Linked DNA regions of Schizosaccharomyces pombe. The gene in region 3 interacts genetically with the main gene of each other region. Each region holds a gene or a part of one and is shown on either strand. Other genes may lie near its edges.

What was found. A genetic interaction does not mean that the proteins touch.
Region 1: mutations in ptp4 (region 3) and SPOM_SPAC12B10.01C together harm fitness more than expected from each alone (negative genetic interaction), as found in Schizosaccharomyces pombe (one large-scale study listed by BioGRID).
Region 2: mutations in ptp4 (region 3) and SPOM_SPBPB10D8.02C together harm fitness more than expected from each alone (negative genetic interaction), as found in Schizosaccharomyces pombe (one large-scale study listed by BioGRID).

Annotation. Positions count from the first base shown.
Region 1 is NC_003424.3:4,567,771-4,578,423, forward strand, and holds SPOM_SPAC12B10.01C (ubiquitin-protein ligase E3), read right to left. Parts: upstream 7,874-10,653; 5' UTR 7,672-7,873; coding exon 2,728-7,671; 3' UTR 2,535-2,727; downstream 1-2,534. Other genes in the region: zds family phosphatase type A regulator Zds1, read left to right, coding at 1-2,353; acetylase Sdg1, read right to left, coding at 8,458-9,165. UniProt on the Schizosaccharomyces pombe protein: E3 ubiquitin-protein ligase which accepts ubiquitin from an E2 ubiquitin-conjugating enzyme in the form of a thioester and then directly transfers the ubiquitin to targeted substrates.
Region 2 is NC_003423.3:80,695-88,430, reverse strand, and holds SPOM_SPBPB10D8.02C (arylsulfatase), read left to right. Parts: upstream 1-2,912; 5' UTR 2,913-2,999; coding exon 3,000-4,664; 3' UTR 4,665-5,202; downstream 5,203-7,736. Other genes in the region: SPOM_SPBPB10D8.01 (cysteine transporter), read right to left, coding at 5,478-7,136.
Region 3 is NC_003423.3:1,275,499-1,282,248, reverse strand, and holds ptp4 (phosphatidate cytidylyltransferase Ptp4), read right to left. Parts: upstream 3,905-6,750; 5' UTR 3,892-3,904; coding exon 3,816-3,891; intron 3,779-3,815; coding exon 3,540-3,778; intron 3,218-3,539; coding exon 2,876-3,217; 3' UTR 2,450-2,875; downstream 1-2,449. Other genes in the region: ribose-phosphate pyrophosphokinase Prs5, read left to right, coding at 900-1,006, 1,429-2,347; mitotic spindle checkpoint protein Mad1, read left to right, coding at 5,190-5,301, 5,352-6,750. UniProt on the Schizosaccharomyces pombe protein: CTP-dependent diacylglycerol kinase that catalyzes the phosphorylation of diacylglycerol (DAG) to phosphatidate (PA). Controls phosphatidate levels at the nuclear envelope. Counteracts the activity of PA phosphatase ned1.

The DNA of each region.
Region 1 (10,653 bases), on a different chromosome or scaffold from region 3:
TGATGATCCTGAGATTCCAACTGACTGGTCAGTTGCGATGTCCCCACCTGAAACCGAACAAGATGCATCTACCCTATTCTGGGTACCAGCAAATTTACATCCTGAATTGAACCCGACTGGTTGGAAATCGTTTTTGGACCTTCAAGTTAAAAACCTTAAGTCCCCTACTGCTACAGACACATCTTCAAGTCCTCTTGAGCACATTCGTTCCCTAAGAAGAAGAAAGTCATTGTTGTCACGACAGGTTAAAGCTGACGATGCTGTAATTAATTACCAAGATGGCAGTCCGATCGTGGAGAAAGCGTATCTCAAAAGGCATAGATCTTTACGCTTGAATGAGTTAGAGCATTTGGAATCTCTTGCACGTGATCCCCATAGGATGGTTTCTTTAGTTGATGGCATGAGCAACGGCTCTCCCGAAGATTCGCCTTTACTAGTATCTCCTAATCATTTTCTTCAACGTTCCTCAAGGACGACAATTCGAAGGACAGGTGCTTCGATTCGGACTATCCACCGGGGTAAAACATCAACTCTATCTGGCAACCGTAGTCACTCTATTTTGCAAAAGCCGACCGATACTTCGCCTCTACATAAAATAGAGCCCATATCTGCTGATGAACTTGTTGAGTCGGATGACTCTAGAACTTCGGCGCTGTCAAACTCTCAAAATCCATCGGACGATGTTGAAAACCAATCTGACCAAGCTCTAGAGGTTTTATCCTTGACGAATCCACCAAAGATTGATAACGCCTCTGCAGATACAACCTTACATAAAGAGACGAATAAGATCGATAAGCTGTATGTTTCGGAGAATAAAGCTGAAAGTGCTGTTGCATCTGAATCTTCGTTATCCGAAGGTACTCTCGCATTGAAAGCACCGGCACCGGAAAACAAACCTGAAAAGTCTAGTACATCGAAACCGCCAGTACCAGAAAATAAGGCTGAAGATTCTGTTGTATTAAAGTCGTCGGTACCAGAAGATAAATCTGAAAATTCTATTGCGTCGAAACCGTCGGCAACGGAAGGTATACCGGAAAATGCTATTGCGTTGCAATCATCGGTACCAGAAAATAAGGCTGAAGATTCTGTTGTATTAAAGTCGTCGGTACCAGAAGATAAATCTGAAGATTCTGTTCCGTCGAAGTCGTCGGTACTGGAGGATAAACATGAAAATTCTGTTGAGATTGATAAAAAAGCAGATGACTCATTACCTTCTAATAATAAAACTGAGGGTTATACACCTTCAGTAGTCCGTGAGGAAAAGAATTATTCTGAACCGAACGCTTCTCCTTCCGTAATACCTCCTAGAGTCCCTACTCCTGTGCCTGGTAGGACTTTAAGTCCAAAGCCTACTAGGATACCCACGCCTATTCCTTCTTCTTTGAACGTTTCTTTAGAGTCCTCAAAAAAGCCAGAGATTTTTCATGAGCGTCATATTCCGACTCCTGAAACCGGTCCTAATAAGCCATCGAAAAACAATATTTTAAAAAGCACTCAAGTTCCCGTTACTCCAAAACAAAAATCATCCACTGCTAACAAAGGTTCAACTTCTTCACCAAGTCCACCCTCTTCTGAATCAAAGAAAACCAAGAGGTCCTGGGGCCGTCTTTTTGTGTCTGGTGATTCTGATAAAGAACACAAAGAACACAAAAAAGATAAACAGAAAAAGAAGAATGACCAAATTTCTTCTTCTTCAAAGTCTGCTTCTTCTTTTAAAAAGGACCGAGACAAGGAAAGCATTTTTGGATCTTTATTTGGCTCGAAGAAAAAGCAGACGGAAATACCCCCTGTATCTTCTTCTCCACCGCATAATGATGCCCCACCAAAAGCAAAGCCAATTTCCGCACCTAGTGAATTGCCCAATACCACTTCTGTCGCAGAAGCTAAGTGTCAGACAGTGACAGATGACGAAGGTACCGATCAACAAAGTGATGAAAAGAGTACGGAACCAAAAACGTTTATTCCTGATAAGGATTATTACTGGAGTCGTTTTCCAATTTGTACTGAACGTGCCATTTATCGTCTCTCTCATATAAAGTTGTCAAACGCGCATCGCCCATTGTTTCAACAAGTTCTCTTAAGTAACTTTATGTATTCATACTTAGATTTAATTTCTCGAATTAGCTCAAATCGCCCGATGAATAATGTACAACAGTCTACTGCTAAACCAATACGCAAAGACATTAATGGACAACAAAGGCGTTCAGAGTTTTCAGCAGAAAATGTAAAAAACGAGCTGGAGAATCTCAGTTATCAATTTGGAGATCAGCGTAAGCGAAATCTTAATAGGAAAGGATCGACTATTCATACCGTTTCTCAAAATATTCAAAAAGTTTCAAAGAATGCTAAATAATCATTTTACCCTACTGCTATTCGTTGGTCTAACATTTTTCCTCATTGGTTAATTATTAGCATTTGGCGACTTTTGTTATATGTTACAGGGTCTTCATTGTCTTTAAAAATTTGTATCTTGTTCACCAACACTTTCTGGAAGCAGGTGGTTATTTATTTTCATGAGTTAAATATAAAATTCTTACTCAATGCATAAGTTTCTAATGAATTTCATTCGCTATGCTACTTTACATTGTAAGGGGAGTACGAAGTTACCCATTCTATAATAAATTACCAATTCTTTTTCGCTTTATATTTGTACATAGCCTCTATTTTGAAGTAATCATAGAACGCTACTGAAGTGCTATACAATAACTTTTTTTTTCTAAACAATGCTTAGGATAAATGAAAACTGCCCTGTCCTTCTAAAATAGCCTTAGAAAGTCGACTTCCTAAAACCTCACTTGAAGAATACTCAGGTAGTTTCAAATAATTCACACAAGTCATCACGCTTGGAAGATAATCATCAGGTACATAAGGAGGTTCATTTAAGCGCCTAACAACAGTTAACGGGGGATTTAGGCCAGCAAATCCTCCAATAGGAAGTTTTCGGCTTCCAGTAATAAATTGCAAAAAGTCTCTTTGTTCTTGAAAATTCATTTGACTCATCAAAGTCAGTAATCTCTGGATTGTAGGACTTTCCATGGTGTAACCGTGATCTGCTACTATAGATTTCATCAAGGTCGCGTAACTCCAATCCTCATCGACAGTACCGAATAGTGTGACCAATTCATGTTCTGTCAAAACTTGCAAAGAAGTATAAGGAAAAACGCTGGAAAACCCATTTTGAAATGCTTCTAATTGTTGTTGAACACCCTTTCCAACAGTATAGTCAATGACATAATTTAAATAATCACTCACATTGAATGTTGTCACAGGTGTACTAGCTCCATCAGGTATGAGTTCAATAGACGGAAATCCCGGTAGAGTAAAATCGAGATGAAGGTCTTCAAGCTTAATGTCCGTCTCGGCGTTTGTAGGGTTTTTACCCGGTATTAATTTCTCTAAATATCGTAACGAGTTAGCTAAGCCCTTGTCAACTTTCGCTACAGAGGAAATGGTTAAAGGTATATTTCGTGCAAAGAAAAGTGGATTAAACTGAATGCTTATTATCCTTGAATCATAAATCGAGCGTGCAACGAACTGTCCAAGAGCAAAGAACAACGAAATTTTTCTTTCATTTTCTGGACTGGACCCTAATAATGGAATAGGAGAAGGAAAAAGTCCAGACGCTTGGTACACAAATTTAGAGTTGGGTTGATCATTCCGCCAAATATCGAGAGAATTTAAGGTAAATTCTTTAGATACTGAAGTATAGAACTCCAAAGTGGGCCCAAGACCTGAACCAACTTCATCTTCGTATTCTATTTCAAGAATATTTTCAGAAGCCGCATAAGTTGCAAGCAAATGCAAAGCGTAATTAAATATTTTTTTCCGAGAAATACGAATTTTCTGGCGATGTAAGCTGACAAATTGAAGTATGGAGGAACTTTCGTTTTTTGATAGCTCAGGATTTCGGGACAAAAGAAAAGAAACGGATCTTGATAAACCAAAAGCAGTAGATTGCAATAAAAGATATCGAGTTTCAAACGGTACTAGGAATGGATATGCAGAGGTTAGTGATATACACCAGGAGGGTAAACAACCGTGAACAACAAGTTGTTGCTCTTCAAGTTGTCTATTCAATTTGGCACTCAACTTCCAGTTGCTAAAATCTGTAAGAATGTTTTCAATGTTGCCACGGAAATGTTTGTCAGGAAAGAGGGTATGAACGTCTCTAATCCCATAATACAAAATACTCAATAAATCCAATATTTCTCTAATATTTATAGAAAATCCCTCTGTTTCATTCTCATAGTTTAACTCCCCTTTCATATCATTGTGAATGCAATCAGGCTCACCATAAAATATTGGGACAGGAGTTTTCCAAAAATCATCGAGAGTATGATCGTCAGACAACTGTATATACTCATATAAAATTCTGAATATTGTTTTGTTTCGGGGTACCTTTTTACCCATCAAACTGAATACAAAATGTTCCTCGAAATGTGATGATGTCGAGGAGTCACGTCGCTCTGATGGCTCTGTTGTGTGATTAGGAGCATCTTGAGACATTGAGTCAGTATAGTCTCCTGAAGAGTTACGAGATGATCCACTCATTGACTCCCTCAAAGAACCGGCCTCGCGGAGGATTGAAAAACGACGTCCAGTTTCATTACGCACAGAAATGCGACTGTGAAGATAATTATCAAGTGTACGAATAGTAGCTAGCCCATTAATAGAAACGACAAGAGATCGGAAAGGTGGTCGAATTCTTGATCCCGGAAGAGCCATTAAACGAAGTTTAAACTGCCGCGAAAAAACATGATCTACCGCATTCTCAGTATCTGGGGGTAACGTTGAAAGTTGAAAATTCTCAACAGTTGAAAGTAGATTTTGCAAACAAAAGATAAGTGAAACTAAGGGACCATTACCAAATTCTAAAACTTCGCGTTCATCACATGTATTCATAGCTAACAAAAATGTTCGAAGAGATGAACTTCCAAATTTTTTGAGTGATAAAAGCAAATTATGAATTAATCCAGAATGAAGTAATTCATGACTAGTAATATTAGATCCTTCTTGAAATATTTTGGCTAGTTCTGAAAAAGATTCGTCTTGTTTGGTCTCACTTAATAAATGTTTAGACAATTGTTTAAGTTGAACTAATGTTGAGTTTTCTAAATTTTCTTCCTTATAATTAGAGAGAAACTCCTTGGCAAGGCTCTTTAACGTCGATAAATTCTTCAACTCCTCATGACGAGCAGCAGATTTGTTTTGTGAAAAGGAAATACTTAACTTTATTTTCTTCATGTCTGCATTGGTAGAGCGAACTAAAAATCCAACCTCCTGTACAACGCCTTCTCGTATAAATAACGAAGAATAAACATTAGGAAGTGCTTCAAGCAAAAATAGACACATTTCTAAAGCATCTCGCTTCAAGAAATTGTCAGATTTGCGTGAATTTAAAATTGAAGCAATGAATGATGATAAAGGAAGAGAACAAACTAAGCCATCTAAATTATTTTCCCTAATTGAACATAACATTTTCAATGCCGTAGTCACAGCTAACGATCGGATATCATGAAGGGGCACAATAAAATAAATGTCCATTACAACAGTTAAGAGTATACTGTTTAATCGATATAGTTTCGTGTTAAATTCATCAGACAAGTTACTAGTGTTTTTAGGAAGCAAAGAAGTTATAGCTCTTAACAAGTTTTCTATTAACTCGATCGGACAATAATACAAACTTTGCATTGTAATCATATCAGCCTGATGGGATGTATCAGAAGGTGGTATTCCACACAGCATTTCGTACATCACATCCGGCAAATTATGGTTAAGAAAAGGTAAAATCAAAGCAGAAGATGACTGACACAAAGATGATATTATATGTAATAGCTGCACTTGTAAGTGCATTGACTTATTTTGTGAGGTAGAATTAGTCAAAGCATTGACAATAGTGGTGATCAAATCCTCGGAAATTATCGTTTCAATTATGTTTGGTGAAGTTTTCAAAGATTCAATAATTGTCTCCAGGCAAGAATATGCCTTACTAACGACTATGGTATCAGAAGATTGTAGAATATTAGAAAGCAATGGAATAATTTCTTCTGCTGCGGAAGCATTGGATTCATCCAAAAACTTACAGCAATTAGCAGCCAGAGAAATAGCTGTCCGTTGAACTGTAGTATAAAAAAAATCAAAGTATTGGAGAGCAGCTAACATTCCTCTGTGTTCCAAAATACAAATACCAAAATCTTTAGAAAGCCGTTCTAAAACTCCTAAAGCTTGTTCAGCAATATCAATGTATTGCATATCAAACATTCTTTCACACAGAATGCGAACAATAGGACTATATGCTATTTTAGCCATACATAAAGGCAAAGCTTCCATCATATTAGATACACAGGTAGTACAGGATAGCATAAGTTGAATAGAGACTTCTCCGAAATCATAATTTCGCCCAGATAAGATTTCGGAAAAAGCCGCAATGTATGAATCGGTTGAAAACAATCCAACAAGCATATCTTCAGTACTCATAGCAAACGCTTCGGAAAGTTCTTGAAGAGAAAGCATTTGAACAGTAGGATCACTAAAATCCTTTATTCCTTCTAACAAGCGTCCAAATTGAACACCTGGAGCAGAAAATGCAGAACGAAAAGGATGAAAGGAACTATTGAAACGGTATGTCTGTGGACCTAAAGAAACATCTTCGTCATCAGAGTTCTCCAAATTACCGGAAGAAAGTATAGAAGACGCTAAACTTTGAAACTGATTACCTCTTCTGATTCTTCCCAGTTCATTTAACAAGTTAGTTTCATCGTATTCTTCGATTCCACTCATGTTCATGTTTTCTTGTTCATTAATAACAGCGGCTGAAGGATTAGGTGAACCGTTTTCGCTTCTTAACTCGTCATTTTCATTTTCATCTTCATCGTCTCCCTCATCATTGTTTTCATCATCGTCTTCTTCCTCCTCTTCATCAACATCTTCATCTCTTTCATAACTTTCACTGCCACTACTGGATTCATCGTCTTTGTACTCGTTATTATTTATATCATCATCAGTTCCATCATTAGTATCATCATAGACGTGGTCATCTTGGTCATTATATTGGGACGAATCAGTAGAAGTATGATAGTTGCTGGAGTCAGAATACGTAGTTTCATAAGAGTTTGAATTCCCAAACTTGGTTAAGCCACTTTTGTCATTAAAAGTTATGTTCTTTGGTTCCATAACTGATTTATCAAATGGAATGATATCAACTTCCGCCTTTTTGTCTAATGCAGAATCAACCGAAGCATTGCTTAAAACGCGTTCATAAGAATTCAGTATATCCGATTGCTTATTAAGAGGCAACACACCTTTATCGGATTTCACTAACTGGGGTTTACCTTTGAGCTTTTCATTAAAGGATTTAAAGACCCTAGTTTTGCTCGTTGTAAGTGGTTGTTCAAGCAATTCGGAAAAATCATGCCGCATATTTAAATGCCTTCCAAATTCCACACTTTTACTAGAAGGTGGTTCAGAAATTTTGGCAGATACCTCCATTTTTAAAAAATGTTTAGTTGCTCTGCGTTTCTTTGTAAATGGCAATTCTTCAGAAGTGTTTAATCTATGTTTGTTGTCGGACTTACTTCGTAGGTTTGGTATAAACACAGGTGAGTTGGTTATAGATTCACTATGTATTAAATTCGGTAAATTCGGAGTATTCGTATACGCTTGAACAGACATGAAATAACAAAATGTCGCTCAGAAAGGCTAATTTAATAAACAAAATTTGGAAGCCTTTCGGCGAGCGATTGGAGTGATTGTTAATTACAATCCAACAAAACAATCAAGTAATTTCTGAACCAAGGAGACAAAATCCCAGTTTTAATTTGATCCTTCTATGATCTCTTGTTTAAGGCGGAATGTGCTGTTGACATAGGGAGATGGCAAAAGCGTCGACAACAAGGGCGCACCATTATGTTGCCGTAGTATGTGTTATAGTAATACGTTATTACTCTAAGTACTATTGTTTTTTTCTGTCTTTTACTGTCATTAAATATTTTTAAATTTGTTTTTTATTTGCAAGATGCTGTATTTTATTTATTGATTCAGCTTTGATTCACACTCGTTAAACGTACTTTTGTAGTCGATCGATTGTGTTTTTACAAGCATAATTGACGATAGTGAAATGAGATGCTCACTTAGTATTCACTAACATACATCAGTTATATAATATTAAGTTTACATTCAAATTGTTTTGTACAGTCTAGCGGGTACGAACTCTTGAACATGGAGCGGACGTAATGAAATAGTTTCTAAAACTTTTAACAATTATTCAACAACACGGTGGGTCTAGTTTTTGCCCTAGGTAGAAATTTACTTGAACGTCGTGAAATTCTTTCGTAACTATTTCACGAAAAAAATAAACACAAAACAAAAAGATTTAAAATATGAACATACAGCGAAAAACAAGTTGTAGCTGCGCAATTACATGCACGAAAGGGTAATATTTGCGGAAAGTTAAATAATCTATCTTCTATTTTCAAAACCAGGTTGTTCGCTCAAATTCTTTTGAAGCACTAAACGGCGCAATCCGAAAAACGATAGATAATCGAAAGCTTCATCAACTACAGGAGTAAAGTCTTTTCTTTCAAAAGCCTTCAACATTGGGTCGGTTGAATAAACTCGTGCTGAGACCACGTCAGCACCCATCTCCTTCGCCTCACGAAGTGCTGAATCTAGGAGATCAAACGCATACTGATAAAATTTAGGAATGACAGTCCAGTGGACAATAGTTGGTGTGTTTTGGTATGCACCAGGAGCATTTGCAGGCAAGATACCTATAATACCAATAACTCGTTCTTTGTCAATGCGGGCCATATAAAAATGTTTAAGATTCTCTTCAGCCAAGCAGCCGTCAGGTTGATTGTCTTCAGTGCTAATCTTTGCATACACATTTCTACAGGGAAATTCAATCAACGTCAAAAAGACAGCGCTAACCAATATTAATAAAACAAAAGTTCGTAATTTTGTATTTCCTTCTACCATGTTTGTTAAGCGATATATCCCCATAAACACCAAACCAAAAACCGCAAGATACAACGGGTGCCAAAAGATTTTTTGAGAGAGATTTCTCGATTGACCGTTCAACGCATTCATGGCAATCGATCGAATACTCGACAGCTCCGCAAGGGTGGGACGACGAATATCAATTCTTTTACGTTGCACATTCGACATTTTTATGTAATTAAATATTCTTTTTTGCTAATCTTTTTAAAATTTATTGTCACAATATTTCTTTTACAATTACCTTCTACTGTGAAATTTAAGAAGATGGAGGTTCGTAAGTGGAGTAGGTAAGAATGAAGCCATTATACCACCATAGATTTACCCAACCCTTGGTTGTTTCAGTCAATTTTTGCGAATTGTAATTTCATACAACTAGAATTTGATCAAATCTACCCTCTTATTAAATGATTGAGATTATTGATTCTATTGATAAATCACATTTAGGGTCAACTAGCTTTTAAAATGTTTTTAGGAATAGAAAAGAATATTGTGACGATCGAAGTAACATTTCTAGCTGAAATAACAATTGGATTTATAAGCTATATCTTCAGTTACTAAATAATTAGTTTCTACAATTTTTTTAGGCTTGAATATTAAATCTTTAAATAATTCCTAGGATAAAAAGAGTATAATGTATACATAGGAACAGAATATACATTTAAAAAAAATGGCAATTGAGTAGAGAAATAGGGAAGGTAATAATGCATCGATTAGATTGCATAACAAACTTTACATGAATCCGAAAACCAAGGATAGGAAATCCATTTACAGTATTTTTCACTATATAAATTAAAGCTTCATAGATTACACTACTTTCAGCGTGCCTATTTTGACCAAGAGTGAAAATATACTACACTCACAAAACGTATAAATGCTGAATTTTCACTTCTTGCAAGTTACAAATATTGCAAATTTCACCGTTTTCGAAATTCTTGTATAATAGGGCCTTACTAACTAGCTCATAACATTATAAAGCTATAACACAACGATAAGTTTTTTGAGTGATCAAAATTATTTTACACAGTTAATTTGCCAATGATTTGGTTATATTAAGAATTATAGATACTAAATAGTATTACACTTTACGAATAACTTAAAAACTATACTAAAGAAAGAAGTTCCATTGCATTATCCTTATTCTTAAATAGCTTTTGAATATAAAAAAGCAATGAAGAGTACCCAAGGGGACAGAAACGTAAATAATTCCTGACACGTAGTATATAGTGATGGTTAACGGGATACAATATAATCGTGCAAAGTGCTAATAAAGTTTTGTTTCAAAGCAATGCAGTATGTATCTGCTATATTTTAACGCAAGTTTAAAGAGTTCTTTATTTGAACTATTTAATGAGTTTTAAAAAATGTGATTGATCCAAATATTGCAAAGAATAGTGTATTGAAATATTTACCTCAAGCAGCTTCAATAAATGTTAAAATGAAACACATACCCTTTTATTAACGTAAATTGGGTTTGTTCTTTAATTAGCGTTATTTATGTCGCTTTCATATTATAAGTGACACGCTACTCCTTTAGAAGATTTCAACAAACTGTACGGTCGAGCTAGTCGGTTAAGAACATTTTACGATTTTGCAGGAAATTCAGTCTTCTGCATAAGTTTTAATTATAAATTAATTTGTTCGAATGCGATTTCGTAT
Region 2 (7,736 bases), 1.2 Mb from region 3:
TTTCAGCTTTTGCAAAATCATCTCTGAGAACCTTATTAACAATTATTTTCTCTTCTCTCTCAGAAAACCATCCCTTTCTCCCTCGAAACATGAAGCCGTTTGCATTGGACTTGGTGGTAATAAATAGATAATCCTCCAATAAAGTAATAAAACCTTTAGTCAAAAACAAGTATGCCCAACCTGGCTTTCCATGAAGTCCACGCATCTTTAATATGCCTACAGCTACAATAAAAGCAAAAATATCTGACAAGGTATTAGAAATCCAAAAAAATTGCTAAGCGTAAAGAGATTTCTTGTCCATTATAAAAATAAGATTAATACAAGATGACGACGGGAATAAACCCTCCTTCAAGCATACCTAGAAGCCATCTCATAATTTAAAATAATGCTGTTCCACTTAAAGAATATTGACAAATATAAACAATGCTCCATAAAACCATTTGGGTTGGAATCCAGCGATTGGGACCTATCTTCTTGCTAATTAATTGAGATGGCAGTTTTGCCGCTAAAAAGGAACAATAAAATATTGTCATACCCTTATTGTAATCATTAGTATTCATTCCTAAATCATCCAACATGTTATCTGAAAGGGCTTGTTGAATATTGGCACGATCTAATTCTAGTGCAAAAAACATAATGAATGCCCATGAAATAATGAGCATATCTATTTTACGAACAACTTTTTGTTCCTGACCCATATCCATCTAAAAAAAGGATCGATGCGGTGTCTACTTTCATAGTAAGGACTAGGTTTGAAAGCAGCTAACGTATTAGGATCATCAAAAATGGATTTTTTTGTTGTAATGGAGTTTGGATCTAGCTTTCTCCGTTTCCAAAAAAATTTCGAAAATTCCTAGGGCTCTCCAAGTTCAAGCATATTGTCCTCATGAGCAGATTCATCATCACCTAATTTCTCAAATATAGATGCTTCATCCTTTTAATCAGTATCGTAGATAATACCATTTTGATATACTTCATGTTGCTCATCTGAGGACTCGCTTTCACTTTCAATAATGCGTTGTTGAACTAAGTTGTAATATTTCTGGTTTAATCAGCTAATGATCCACCGTATACGATTTTTCCAAGTACTATAGTTAAAAAAAGATGTCCGCTCAAATAAATATTTATATGCCTATACTAGTAGCACTTTACATGCCGCTACATTATATATAAAAGTGAACAGCCAATTAATTTTGCTTTTTAATCATTTCCAAGTCATTTAAAATTCCTTGCAATAATAAGCGTATATGGGAATGTAGTTAGCACAATTACTTGCTTCGGCTCAGACAACCTATTATTATAATACAGCTTATTTTATAATAATATTATTAGCTTTTTACCCATCGAACACAAATGAAAACATGCTAAGAAAAGGAATGTTTAAACAAAATTATTATAGTCATAATCTAGGATGCATTTACCGAGTAACAATGACAACTTAACACGTGTAAATTCTAATTTGTAATTAAAACGATTTGCTATTACTATTTAAATGTAAACCAAGTTTGAATACATCCGATATAATAATGAGTAAAAAGAAAATAGTGGGTGCTGCTCAATAAGTTTACACTTTAACATAATATCAGACCAAATCTGATAAATATGAATTTACGTAACTCTTTTGATATAATTTGAATTCACTTATAATTGCAATTGATAGTACCAAAAGTGCGTTGAAGGGAAATGATGTATGGATTGTTTGAGAATGTTACATCTTTTCTCGGATCCAACATTACGCAAAGATCCTTTCTGTACAACAACTTAATCCTTTAACTTTACAAGTTCCTACAATTGAAACAAGTTGTTTTTGTATATTGTGAATGTCTTAAGATGTTCTTTATCTGTATTTTTTAACAATTGGTCCACTATTTTTGAACTTAGGAAGTCTAATTATTGGACGGCCCTTAGTTACGGAAACAATTTACCAAGAAAAAAATCTTCAGATATATAGCATTAAGCTTTATTATGATACATCTCGATACTTTTATACTCTTCATATCTTCATATATATTACGTCCACTAATCGAGATTATTAAATTCCAATTGTAATAATTAAGTATTATTTTAATTTCAAACGAAAAGAGAATCCGAGGTCAGTTGTAAATTAATTATTACCACTTAGTATGAAAATATTCGTGTCTGATATTTCATATCAATAAGACAATACAAAGGACCAAAACGTAATTTTAATCGCAGTTTACCCCCATTAAATTGTATGAAATTCGTATCACTCAACAAATCTAGGTATAAATATGATTTTTCTCAGTTATTGTCAAAAGCAAAATGTTATTATATCTAATTTATCTCATAGAAAATATGTTGAATCTTCCACTGACATTTCTCGTTGAAAGTTCAAAATAACGAAAATCGACGTCCTTGTTAATTATCATTTGGTATCTTTTAGAAAATTAATGTTTTCTTATATGTATAAAGCTTCAAAATCTATTTAGGTTCCTTTGTAGTATATTACCGAAACCGATTTTTTCTAGAGTAAAGCATTTATTGATATAAAGATCAATTAATATAATTTGGCGAGTGTTTAAATATTTTCACATATTTTCCTTTGGGATTGATAACTCAATTAATATTTCCTTGATAAATAAAAAAAAAAAGTCAATTCCTGGTCAGTAAACTCAGTTTTGCACATATTGAGTGAGTGACAGTAATTAGTTTTAAACTTGATTTACTGAATCTTATCTCTAAAATATTCAGATAAGTAAATTACAGTTTGATCCAGTAAATTGGAATGTATGAGTATCTTTTTTAATATGGATGATGTTACTCAAAGCTTACGTGATAGCACGCCATACTTCTTCATTAGGTATTTGTAATTTTGCAATCTATTACGGAAGACAATTGTTGCAAATATATTTTTTCATATTTTAATCAACTTGTGGGCTGTCTCTTGTCTCACATGCCCTTTATGAACATAAAATAAAAATTACAGTTTGAGCTGCATAAAAATTTATTCGCAATCAAAAAAAATTTGAATAGTAACTATGGCTTTTAATAAACAAGCTGAATCTAAAAAACCAAACTTTTTGGTCATCGTAGCTGACGATCTTGGATGGTCAGATGTTTCTCCGTTTGGAAGTGAAATACACACTCCAAATATTGAGAGGCTTGCAAAGGAAGGTGTACGGTTGACAAACTTTCATACAGCCTCTGCTTGCTCGCCTACTCGATCTATGTTATTAAGCGGTACAGACAATCACATAGCAGGTTTAGGGCAAATGGCAGAGACAGTACGCAGGTTTTCGAAAGTATGGGGTGGAAAGCCTGGGTACGAAGGCTACCTAAATGATAGAGTTGCTGCATTACCAGAGATTCTACAGGAAGCGGGTTACTATACCACAATGTCTGGAAAGTGGCACCTTGGACTAACCCCAGATCGTTACCCTTCAAAGCGAGGATTTAAAGAATCTTTTGCACTTTTACCTGGAGGTGGTAATCATTTTGCATATGAACCTGGTACTAGAGAAAACCCTGCTGTACCTTTTTTACCACCATTGTATACCCACAATCATGATCCTGTTGATCACAAAAGCTTAAAAAATTTTTATTCGTCCAATTACTTTGCAGAAAAATTAATTGATCAGTTAAAAAATCGTGAAAAATCCCAGTCATTTTTTGCTTACCTCCCATTTACAGCACCTCATTGGCCGTTGCAATCACCAAAAGAATATATTAATAAATATCGTGGACGATATAGTGAAGGCCCCGATGTGTTACGAAAAAATCGCTTGCAAGCCCAAAAGGATTTGGGACTTATACCAGAAAATGTAATTCCAGCACCTGTAGATGGAATGGGAACCAAGTCATGGGACGAACTAACAACAGAAGAGAAAGAATTTTCTGCGCGAACGATGGAAGTTTATGCTGCAATGGTCGAATTATTAGATTTGAATATTGGTCGTGTTATTGACTACTTGAAAACTATTGGAGAACTTGACAACACATTTGTTATATTTATGTCAGACAACGGTGCAGAAGGGTCAGTTTTGGAAGCAATCCCGGTATTAAGCACAAAACCACCGGTTAAGTATTTTGACAATTCACTGGAAAACTTGGGTAATTATAATTCATTTATTTGGTACGGACCAAGATGGGCACAGGCTGCGACCGCTCCTTCTCGACTTAGCAAGGGTTTTATTACAGAAGGTGGTATTCGATGTCCTGCTATAATTCGCTATCCTCCATTGATCAAGCCAGACATCATCTCCGATGAGTTTGTTACGGTTATGGATATCCTGCCAACCATCCTTGAGTTAGCAGAAGTCCCTCACCCAGGGCACAAATTTCAAGGACGAGATGTTGTAATCCCCCGTGGGAAACCTTGGATTGACCATTTTGTGCATGGAAAACCCGTACACAAAGATACTGACTTTAGCGGCTGGGAACTTTTCGGGCAAAGAGCTATCAGAAAAGGAAATTATAAGGCAATATATGTACCTAAAGAAGGAATAAAAACAGAATGGGAGCTGTATGATCTTTCCCAGGACAAAGGTGAGCTTGAAAATCTAGCGAAAGTCCATCCAGATATTCTAAACGAACTCATCGAGTATTGGTTGGTCTACGAAGCTGAAACTGGAGTAGTAACAGCCCCAGACGATTTTGTTGCCGAAAACGTCGGTTTGTTCAAACCAGCTAAGCACAATCTTTAATGATTATTCATGATATTGAATTTTACAATAATTTTTTACTGTTAATGAAACACCACATAGCAGTTTATTAATGGTAAAAAACTTATTGCAAATATGGAACTCGGGTTCAGCTAATTGTTTAATTTAATGGGCTATTTCCAGTCTTTTACTTATTAAACACCACAGTTTAAAGATTATAAAATCTAATAATAGCTGATTTCATCTATCAACGTATATATGCTAAGTTACCAATTGATTCAATGTTTTTTAAATATGATAATCTACAGCGAAAATTATCAGATGGAATGCAAAGCCGAGCTGAAAAATTTAACTGGTTTGGATTTCCCCTACGTATTAGGCTTTATAATTGATATAAAAATACTTTTTTAGAACATCTCTTTTTCAATCGCAACTTTGCAGCAAAGTAAACTATGAGAAACCATTGGGGATAAAAATCGACCTCCATTTTATTTAGCAATGAATGCTAGTTCTTCTTTTCAATCTATGTAAATAGTAACTGAATAAAGCTTTCAGCAATATATACAAACAAAATTTCAAACTATTCTTCGCTAAAGACGAAGATTACTATTAAAGGTTAGGAATCCTAAAGGAAACAAAAAAACAAGTAAATAAAGCAACTGTCTTGTAGTAGTCTAAAATAAGTTAAGAGTTTACGGGCAAGTAGTTTAAAAATACAAAATTTTGCAAAAAAAAAAGCAAATAGTAGAAGGATTTTTCATGACTGTTGGGAATTTGAAATTATTTTGTAAACATTTCTCATGAATACTTCAAAAAGTTATTTTTTAAGATTTATTCCTTCGTTTAAATGGATAATTATAAGGGATAAATAAACGATAGGTTCTCCTGGTCTGTCAAATCAAGCATAGAATTTTCGTAAAAACCGGAAACGTGATTTCCAGAAGAATCAATCGTCTCAATCCAAGTCTTTTCATACTGTTCTTTATTCTGCTCAAGAAGAGCAAGGCGCTTTTTGTTCCTTCGAACAAGAATCCAGCGAATGATCAGCAATACAAAGGGAGAAACAGACCAAGCAATTACTATTTGAACAATCCAAGCAGGATAATATCTCGGGGCATCACGACTCTGCCACATTTGTGGGCCAATGATGTTGGCAATGGCATATCCAATCATAAACATAACACCACGAGTAAGCTTCTTTGTGTATCCAGCACAAGAGGCTGTTGTCCATCCAAGAGAAATAATAAAAGGGATACCAAAATTGCTTGCTATAATAATAGCTGCTAACTCCCCAATTTTATGATCCCATGACATGGCTACGCACGCAATTCCTCCGGCAATACTTGGGATATACCATATAGCTCCGTGAAAGGCACTTTGGTTTTTTATCACACTCATCATATAAGTTGCTATAATTGCGCTAACGCAATTATATCCGGCACTAGCGACGCCCACCAAGGTAGAATTCAAATCAGAAACATTCAAGCTTGTAAAAAGTAAATTTTGTTGGTAAGCTAAATTGTTGGAAAGTTGATTGCAAAAAACATGAAAAGTAAATAACCATGTCACTGGATCCTTTAACGCCTCGATTACTTGATACTTCTTGAAAGTCTTCGACTCAATACCGCTATGATTACTTCTACGTACACGGTCAACTGTGTATAATCTCTCTTTCTTGGTCAAGAATCTAGCAGTAGAAGTATTATCTGGGTAATAAAAAAAGAGTCCAATAGTTAAAAAAAATGTGATTCCTCCGACGATTATCATAAAGAGCTTCCAAGGAGATATGGTGTTTTTTGCATATTGGACTCCATAGGCTATAAACCCTGCAGGAATATTACAGCCATAGCATGAAATATAGAAAAAGGGCTGAAGAAGAGCTTGCTCAGAATGAGGGAAAAACATGCCAATGGTTGCTTCCATGGTAGGTAGCAACGAGGATTCTACAAGACCCAGAAAAAAACGAAGTGCCATTAAACCACTAAAATTATATGCGGCGCAATGCAAGAAAATTATAATCGTCCAGAGAGCCGTTGAAGCAGCAACAAACTTACTGACGGGAAATCTTTGCAGTAACATATGACCAGGGATCTGTCCAATAACAAATCCCACATAAAAAAGCGTATTTATATCATTGTATTGGTTGCTATTTATGTGTGTATCTTCAAATAATCCAAGGATACTTGAGTAACTTAGTGTGGCCTTGTCAATGTATAACATCATATCCAGTATCATGAGCATTACAAGTACAGTAAAATACAATTTCCAACGCAATCTTTTATCTTGTTTAGGTGTGAGCGGTTCTAGATCTTTAGCTTCTTGCATAAAACTGAACGTTTCGTCAAGCACTGCATTTGACACATCTGGATGCGACTGAGACGAGCTCTTAGAAATATGAGAAGTTATAACATGTGGAAAATATCCTTTTTCCTTATCAACATATTCTTTGGGGTCTTTCTCATAATCTGAAGAATCTTCAACGTTAATCTGATCAGCGTAAGAGGGTTGAGGCATTTTATTTGTCTTGCAGCCGGTTTTTTTCCGCTTCAAAATGTAATCCTTTGTTTAAGTATAAAATTCTTAGTTTACTTCGTTTATCATAGAATTAGTCCCACTTTGATCACTTCATACATGGAAATGAAAACAGTTAAGTCTTAGCACAATGAACAAACAAATTAAAATTTCCGAATTATTTTTTTATTTTAGTTCAAATGTCTCGCCGAATCGTTTTTTAAATGGTCCTCTTTTGTTCGTTAAACTCGCTTTTAAAAAGAATCGTTTACCAAATCTTGGAAAGCTAATCAAGAAAAAAAACACCATTTATATGATAGATATTTGTTTAGGGTAACCGTCTCCTCCATTAATTCTAAATATTTGTAATAATCAGCAATATTTGCGAAAAAGTTTCAAATATGTATCAATCACTCCTAGGAAAAATTATGTTAAATAGAGCACCAATCGGTTTTACCTTAAATTGTTATTGGTTTGCAAAACTTTCCCTTCCTCGCTCTGAACCCTTAAAACTTACATCGGCGTGCAGAAGTCTAGTGTACCGTTGAAGATAACGAAATACAATATTAAAATATTAAAACATCTTTCTATACAAAGTACTAA
Region 3 (6,750 bases):
AGAACACCCTAAGTTTACTTTAAATAAGACTTTGAGAGAGGCTGCTTTACGGCAAATTATTCTCACAAATATTTGCCAAGCTATTTAATGTTGAGAAGGAGGAAGTATCGCTTGAAGTGCTTGAGTTGTCAAAATCGTTCTGCAGCCCTTAGTTGCTTTTTTTTTAAAAAAAAAAATAATTCTATAGGTGAAGACAATTGGATGAAACAGTAGTTTACGACAGTTTACAGTATTAAAATCAATCTGCACCAATCTATTCAACAATGATTCAAGACCATTTTCTCCATTTCACATTGAGCATATATCCACTTCTTTTGAAACAGGTAATCCTGTCAAAAAGAAAAACACCTTAAATGTGGTATTTTTTTGATGTGTGAATCTTGTAAACCTGATTACCATAAAGGCGAACACAGACCAAGATGGAGATTGTACGGATATTATTTATTTTCGTGAATTTTACAAATTTGACGCCTAGCTAAGTGTGCTTATGCTGTCCTCCTCAATATGAACTTGTTTGGACTTCTTATTGACCGTAATATCAACGTTGGTTATTCAAATCTTCTTAAAATAGAAGTTACAAATTACACCTATCATATTAATTAAATCTACTTGCTGATGTCGAAAATCAAGCGAAATAGCTGCAAAAGGAAGCTAAATTTGGACGATCAAGTCGAAGTCATTAAGACCACTCCTGATCTGATCAAAAATTGTAGGGATGGTTCTTAAGTTTAAAAAAGTTTTATTTTTTTAAACTAAAACATTCCAGCGCCTTTTTTTAACCTACTATCCCAAGTTGTGGTTGCCGAGGCTTTTCCCCGGACATACCAAACAGAGGTTTTTTCGATGAGTTTGGAAGAGCTATTTAACCTGAACAAGGTTGTTTCACCTAAAACAGAACAATGAAAAATTTGGTTGTTTTTGGTACAGAATCGCATCCCAAGCTTACAGAAAGTATTTGTGAACATCTTTGTCTTGATATAGGCCGGGTTGAACTTTCAAAGTTTAGGTAAGAAAGTACATTTGAGTGTTCGAAGAGTTTGTAGCAATTGGGAGGGTTGGAGTTGCCTATAAATCTTCTATTTATAATGATTTTCTTTAAAAGCTAAAGTCACTACTGAAAGTATGCCGTTTTACCCAACCATGATACGGGTCGATAGCTATCAAAAATTTTAGATAGTCGAGTAGCTTGCCCCTACTGACAGTTTTATACTCGCACTTTCAGTCCATTAATTGTTAATTGGTTTTTACTTTATGTTTAATTCATAATTATTTGATCTTAGTCTCTATTTAGTTAATGTTTTTAGTGACTGATAAAGATTTGGCAGCATCATCTTTGAATGCATACTCTTATTCCATTTTTGATTCCACCTCTTTATCACATCTATCTATGTTTTTCTATTTGATTATATTAACGTGTATTTATTGCAGCAATGGCGAGACTTCGGTGAGAATTAAGCAGTCCGTTCGTGGTTGCGACGTTTATATTGTTAGTCCAGCATCTGGACAGGTAAACGACCATTTAATGGAACTGTTAATTATGATTTCTGCTTGTAAAACAGCATCTGCTAAAAAGGTTACCGCCGTCCTTCCTGTATTCCCATATAGTCGTCAACCTGATCAAAAATTTTCCTTTTCCGGTGCTCCTTTATCTGACTTGCAAGATGCGGTTGTTCCATGCAAAAAGCAAACTGGTTATCACCCATGGATTGCACAATCCGGCACGCTAGTAGCTGATTTGCTTATGTGCTCTGGTGCTGACCATATAATCACAATGGATCTTCATGATCCCCAATTTCAGGGCTTTTTTGACATCCCTGTAGACAATCTTTTTGGCCGACCATTACTTAAACATTACATTTCTCTTAATATCCCGAATTATCATAACGCAGTAATTGTATCTCCCGACGCTGGTGGTGCCAAACGTGCTACTGCTATTGCTGATGCTCTGGGTTTGGACTTTGCTTTAATTCATAAGAATCGCCGACATGAATACGGAACATCTTTGATGCTTGTTGGTGATGTACAAAACAAAGTCGCCATCCTCATCGACGATCTTATTGATACCGCTTACACACTAGTTCGAGCAGCAGAGTTTGTCAAAGAACATGGAGCTAGCAAAATCTATGCTCTCGTCACTCACTGTGTTTTATCAGGAGATGCTATTGAGCGTGTAAAACTTTCTTGCATTGACAAGCTTATTGTTACAAACACCGCTCCTCAAACTATTACACCAAGTGGATGTTTTGACATAATCGATGTCGCTCCTACCTTTGCGGAGGCAATTCGTCGCATACACAATGGTGAGAGTATTTCAATACTGTATGACCACAATCAAGTTTGGGTTTAACTGTACGTTGTTCATATTATTTAATTTGTTTTGATCTAGTTGGCTTAAGACTATCCGATTTTTTTTGATACTATCAATTGTCCTTTTTCTTTACTTTAACTTTAGACAGTTACATTGGAAATAATTATTATTTACTTTGAGTTGACAAAATGATTATCAAGCTAATTTCCTAAAACTAATTTCAACTTAGCTAATCTCTAGTGTAAAACTGCTAAATATAAGGTTCTTCACGACCATTATATATGTACAAGCTATGTAGAAACTATATAGGCAGTCTAATTGCACGATTTCGTCATGTTTCATACAAAAAGCCTAAAATTGTCTGGGTAATGAAGCTTGTAGGTATTTCTATACATTTTAACAGTATGTACGCATACTGGTTAGACGGAAAAAAGATGAACAATAGAAATGGTGATAAATGGAGGAGCGAATCAACAAAACATAACTATATTCAATAATTTTTCAAACGTGGTCGGGAAAGGACGAATGGAAAAAACAAAAGAATGTCAGTATAAAAGAACATGGTTATCACATGATTAAATATAGTAAACAGGCAGAAACGACAGGAATTACAAGGTTATCGTCAAGACCCCACACATCCATAGCTTCTGCAAAGGCACCAATAAATCCATTTATCAAGCAAAGCCAAGGGAAAGGAATTCTGCTTTGAGCGGCCAAGCTGTCAGGACCGGTACGAAACAAGCCCCAGTACACATAGCAACAAAAAACACCACAAACGAATGCGCCCAAACTTCCAGCCAAACTCTTATTTTTGGCAATTTTCGGGGTATACTTGCCCCATTTTCGACCAACGGTTGAGGCAGTAGTGTCACACCATGACAGTAAAAGGACACTCATTACTGCTATCTCCTGAACTTAGTTAGTAACTATGGCATAATATATAAGTAAAAGAAGAAGGAAGGTGAAGTTAGGAAAAGATCAAGCAAGGCAAAGTAGATTTGAGTAATCATGATCAAAAATACTAACTTAAACTCTATGCAACAACAATATGCTTGGTCTGACAAATACTTAGAATAGAAAATCATTCTCCGTGAAAAAATGGGTTCTATAGAGTAGTATGTCCAGTAAAAAACAAAACCCTTCGGATCGCCTGGAACAAGGAAAACCATATCTTCCTTTTTCTTAAAGAATAATAACAGTAATGATAGACATTACAATGACTTTTACTTACCTCTGGAAAAACTTTTAAAACAATCCATACCCCGATCATATAAAAAATAACACCATTCCATGCATTTTTTTCGGACTCTCGCATCAAAGGACCAATAACGCGATTGTAAAGGCGGCTGAAAGCTGGCCAGTTAAAACGAATTACATCTCCAGTAAATGCAGGTATGAATCCAATTTCTATAACCGGTATGATTTGAGCAGCGTGGTATCCACATCCCTGAAGTAATAGAGCAAAAAATCCTAGACCCGGTTAATCCAAGTCATAAAAACAACTTACCAATAGAAGTATGGAGTGCTTTACGGGGAATTTCATGCTTTTTGGACCATTGCGACCACGTCAATTTAGTCGACATTGGATGAGTATTCGCTCAGTAGTGTTTTCCAATCTAAAGGTATTTCTAATGGGTAAAAAAAAAATAGCGATACCGGCCGTGATGCAAGGAATCGGTATATGCGAGGCAAGGAATGTTCTCGCATATAGCTCACTATTTTTTTATCGTTGCACTATTCCTCCTTATTCCGTAAACATTATGAGCTAAAGTCAAAATTAATAGAATGAATGACTTCCTGAGAGTCCCAAAAGAAACCGATTTATTTCCTTCATCAGTTGGAAAAAATTTATTTATTTATCACTGCCAATATAAGAGCTCGACTTCCTAGATGAATAGCATAGCTTTGAAAGTGATTCGCAGGATGACTCAGTATCAAAACGAATGGGTTATACACTATATGGCTTTAGATGTAAATATTCTTTAGATGATATATTAAGAGAATTAATAACTGCATCGACATACAGCCAATGCAGAATCATTTATAAGTCACTGAACCTTCAGAATAGCGCAACGTGGATTTCGCTACTTTACGAAACTTTAGATGCTATTGTGAGCTCTTACGTTTCGCTTTTTGTTGTCAAATATGGGAGAATTAATTGAAAATATAAAGACAATTCTCAAGTACGCGAAAGTTTCTATTAAAAAGTAAAATGATAACTTGAATATGTATGCTAATAAAATTCCTAAAAGAAACTGAAACCATTTTAGAGCTTATATCATTGCCAAGCAATTTTGAAAATTAAATGCGAAAACCATTATTCTTTAGTTGATGAACTAGAAGTAATAATTTTTATTTAATAATAATAAGTCTGCTCAAAATCAGGTTTATTTTCAGTTATTGGTTAATTGTTCAAATTGAAGTTTTATTAAAAAAAAAAAAAAAAAAAAAAAAAAAAACTATTATAATTTATGTTAAGACTACGTAAGTTCCTTAGGGTACGCGATTTGGTCTAGCAATTTAAATAAATAATAATAATATCAATATAAAAAAACTAGAAGACTTAAAAGCTTTTATGTTCACACGTGCATCGAAAATTGATTAAGGAATTCAACACATTAAATATATAATATAATAATAACAAGGTCTATGATTTAAAAAAAAAGAAAAAGTAATAAGTTCCATTAATTTAGATATCATTAAACAAGTATGTTGTTTGAGCATATGCAGTCAGTCCTACCTTTCTTTAATTCCCTGATTTCAATAAATTACTGAGATGCAATTTGTCCTCCATATTGTCAATATTATATTAAAGAGGTATACCAAAAATCAATTTCTCACTATGAGCTCCAAGCTGACAGTGTATCAAGCGACTACATCCATGGCGGATTCTCCTAGGGATCCGTTCCAATCGCGTTCACAGTTGCCTAGATTTCTAGCAACAAGCGTTAAGAAACCAAATTTGAAGAAGCCTTCTGTTAATTCTGCTAATGGTATGTGAAACTTATATTTGACGTTTGTTTATGGATCTGACACCCTGTAGAAACAAAAAATCCCAAACTAGCTTCTTTAGAATTTCAACTAGAAAACCTAAAAAATGATTTAAAGCGGAAGGAACTGGAATTTGAGCGTGAACAAATTGAGTTGCAAAGAAAACTTGCAGAAGAACATGAACAGAAGAATTCGTTACAGCTGCGTCTAACTCTAGTTGAAAAGCAACTGGAGGAGCAGTCTACTTCTTATCAAAAAGAAATAGAAGAAGTAAGAAATGAAAAGGAAGCCACTCAGGTGAAGATCCATGAACTACTTGATGCAAAATGGAAAGAGATTGCAGAGTTGAAAACCCAGATAGAAAAGAATGATCAAGCTTTAAGTGAAAAGAATCATGAAGTAATGGTCTCAAATCAAGCTTTGCAAATGAAGGATACCAATCTTACAAACCTTGAAAAACTCTTTGCGGATTCCCGCGAACAGCTTGAAACGAAGTGTAAGGAACTTGCGGCTGCCGAGCAGCAATTACAAGAGCTTTCAGTTCATAATCAGCAATTGGAAGAGTCCATCAAGCAGGTTTCTAGTTCTATTGAACTGGAAAAAATAAATGCTGAGCAACGTCTTCAAATTAGCGAGTTGGAAAAATTAAAAGCTGCGCAGGAAGAACGAATTGAAAAGCTATCATCCAATAATAGGAATGTTGAAATTCTCAAGGAAGAGAAAAACGATTTGGAGTCCAAACTTTATCGTTTTGAAGAATATAGGGATAAGGTTGCTACCCTTGAACTCGAAAATGAAAAAATTCAAACTGAATTAAATTCTTGGAAGAGTTTAATTACTAACGAGTTACCAACCCCTGAAGCTGTTTCAAACAAACTCGTGTTTCTACAGAATACCAATGCTAATCTCGGAGAGCGCGTTTCTAGTTTAGAGAGTCAATTGTCTAATAAGCCTGCAAACCAGCCGCTTGGTGCAAATGAAAAAGACGCCGCTCATATTACCGAACTTGAAACAAAGCTTAAAGAACTTCATGAGCAGAACCGACGTCTACAAAGACAAAAATCTTTGGCAACCCAAGAAATTGACCTTTTAAGGGAAAACCTTAAAAGCTATGATGATGAGGAGGCGATTTTGAGTGAAAAAAATACTGATATGAAGAAGTTGGAAAGAATTGAAGGTCTGGTCAAGCTGGTTGATGAATATAAGCTAAAGCTTGAAAGTATGCCTGTATCTCTTGATGTAGATGAGACTTCAGATGAGGTCTCATTACAAAAGAGACGCAGGAAAAACGAACATAAAGATGCTGGTTACGTAACGGAGCTATATCGTAAGAATCAGCATTTGCTTTTTCAAGTTAAAGAGAAAACCAACATTGAAGCCTTTCTAAGGGAGCAGATTATTACATTGGAATCCTCCATAGCAACTTTACGTCAAGAACTGGCACAAGTTAC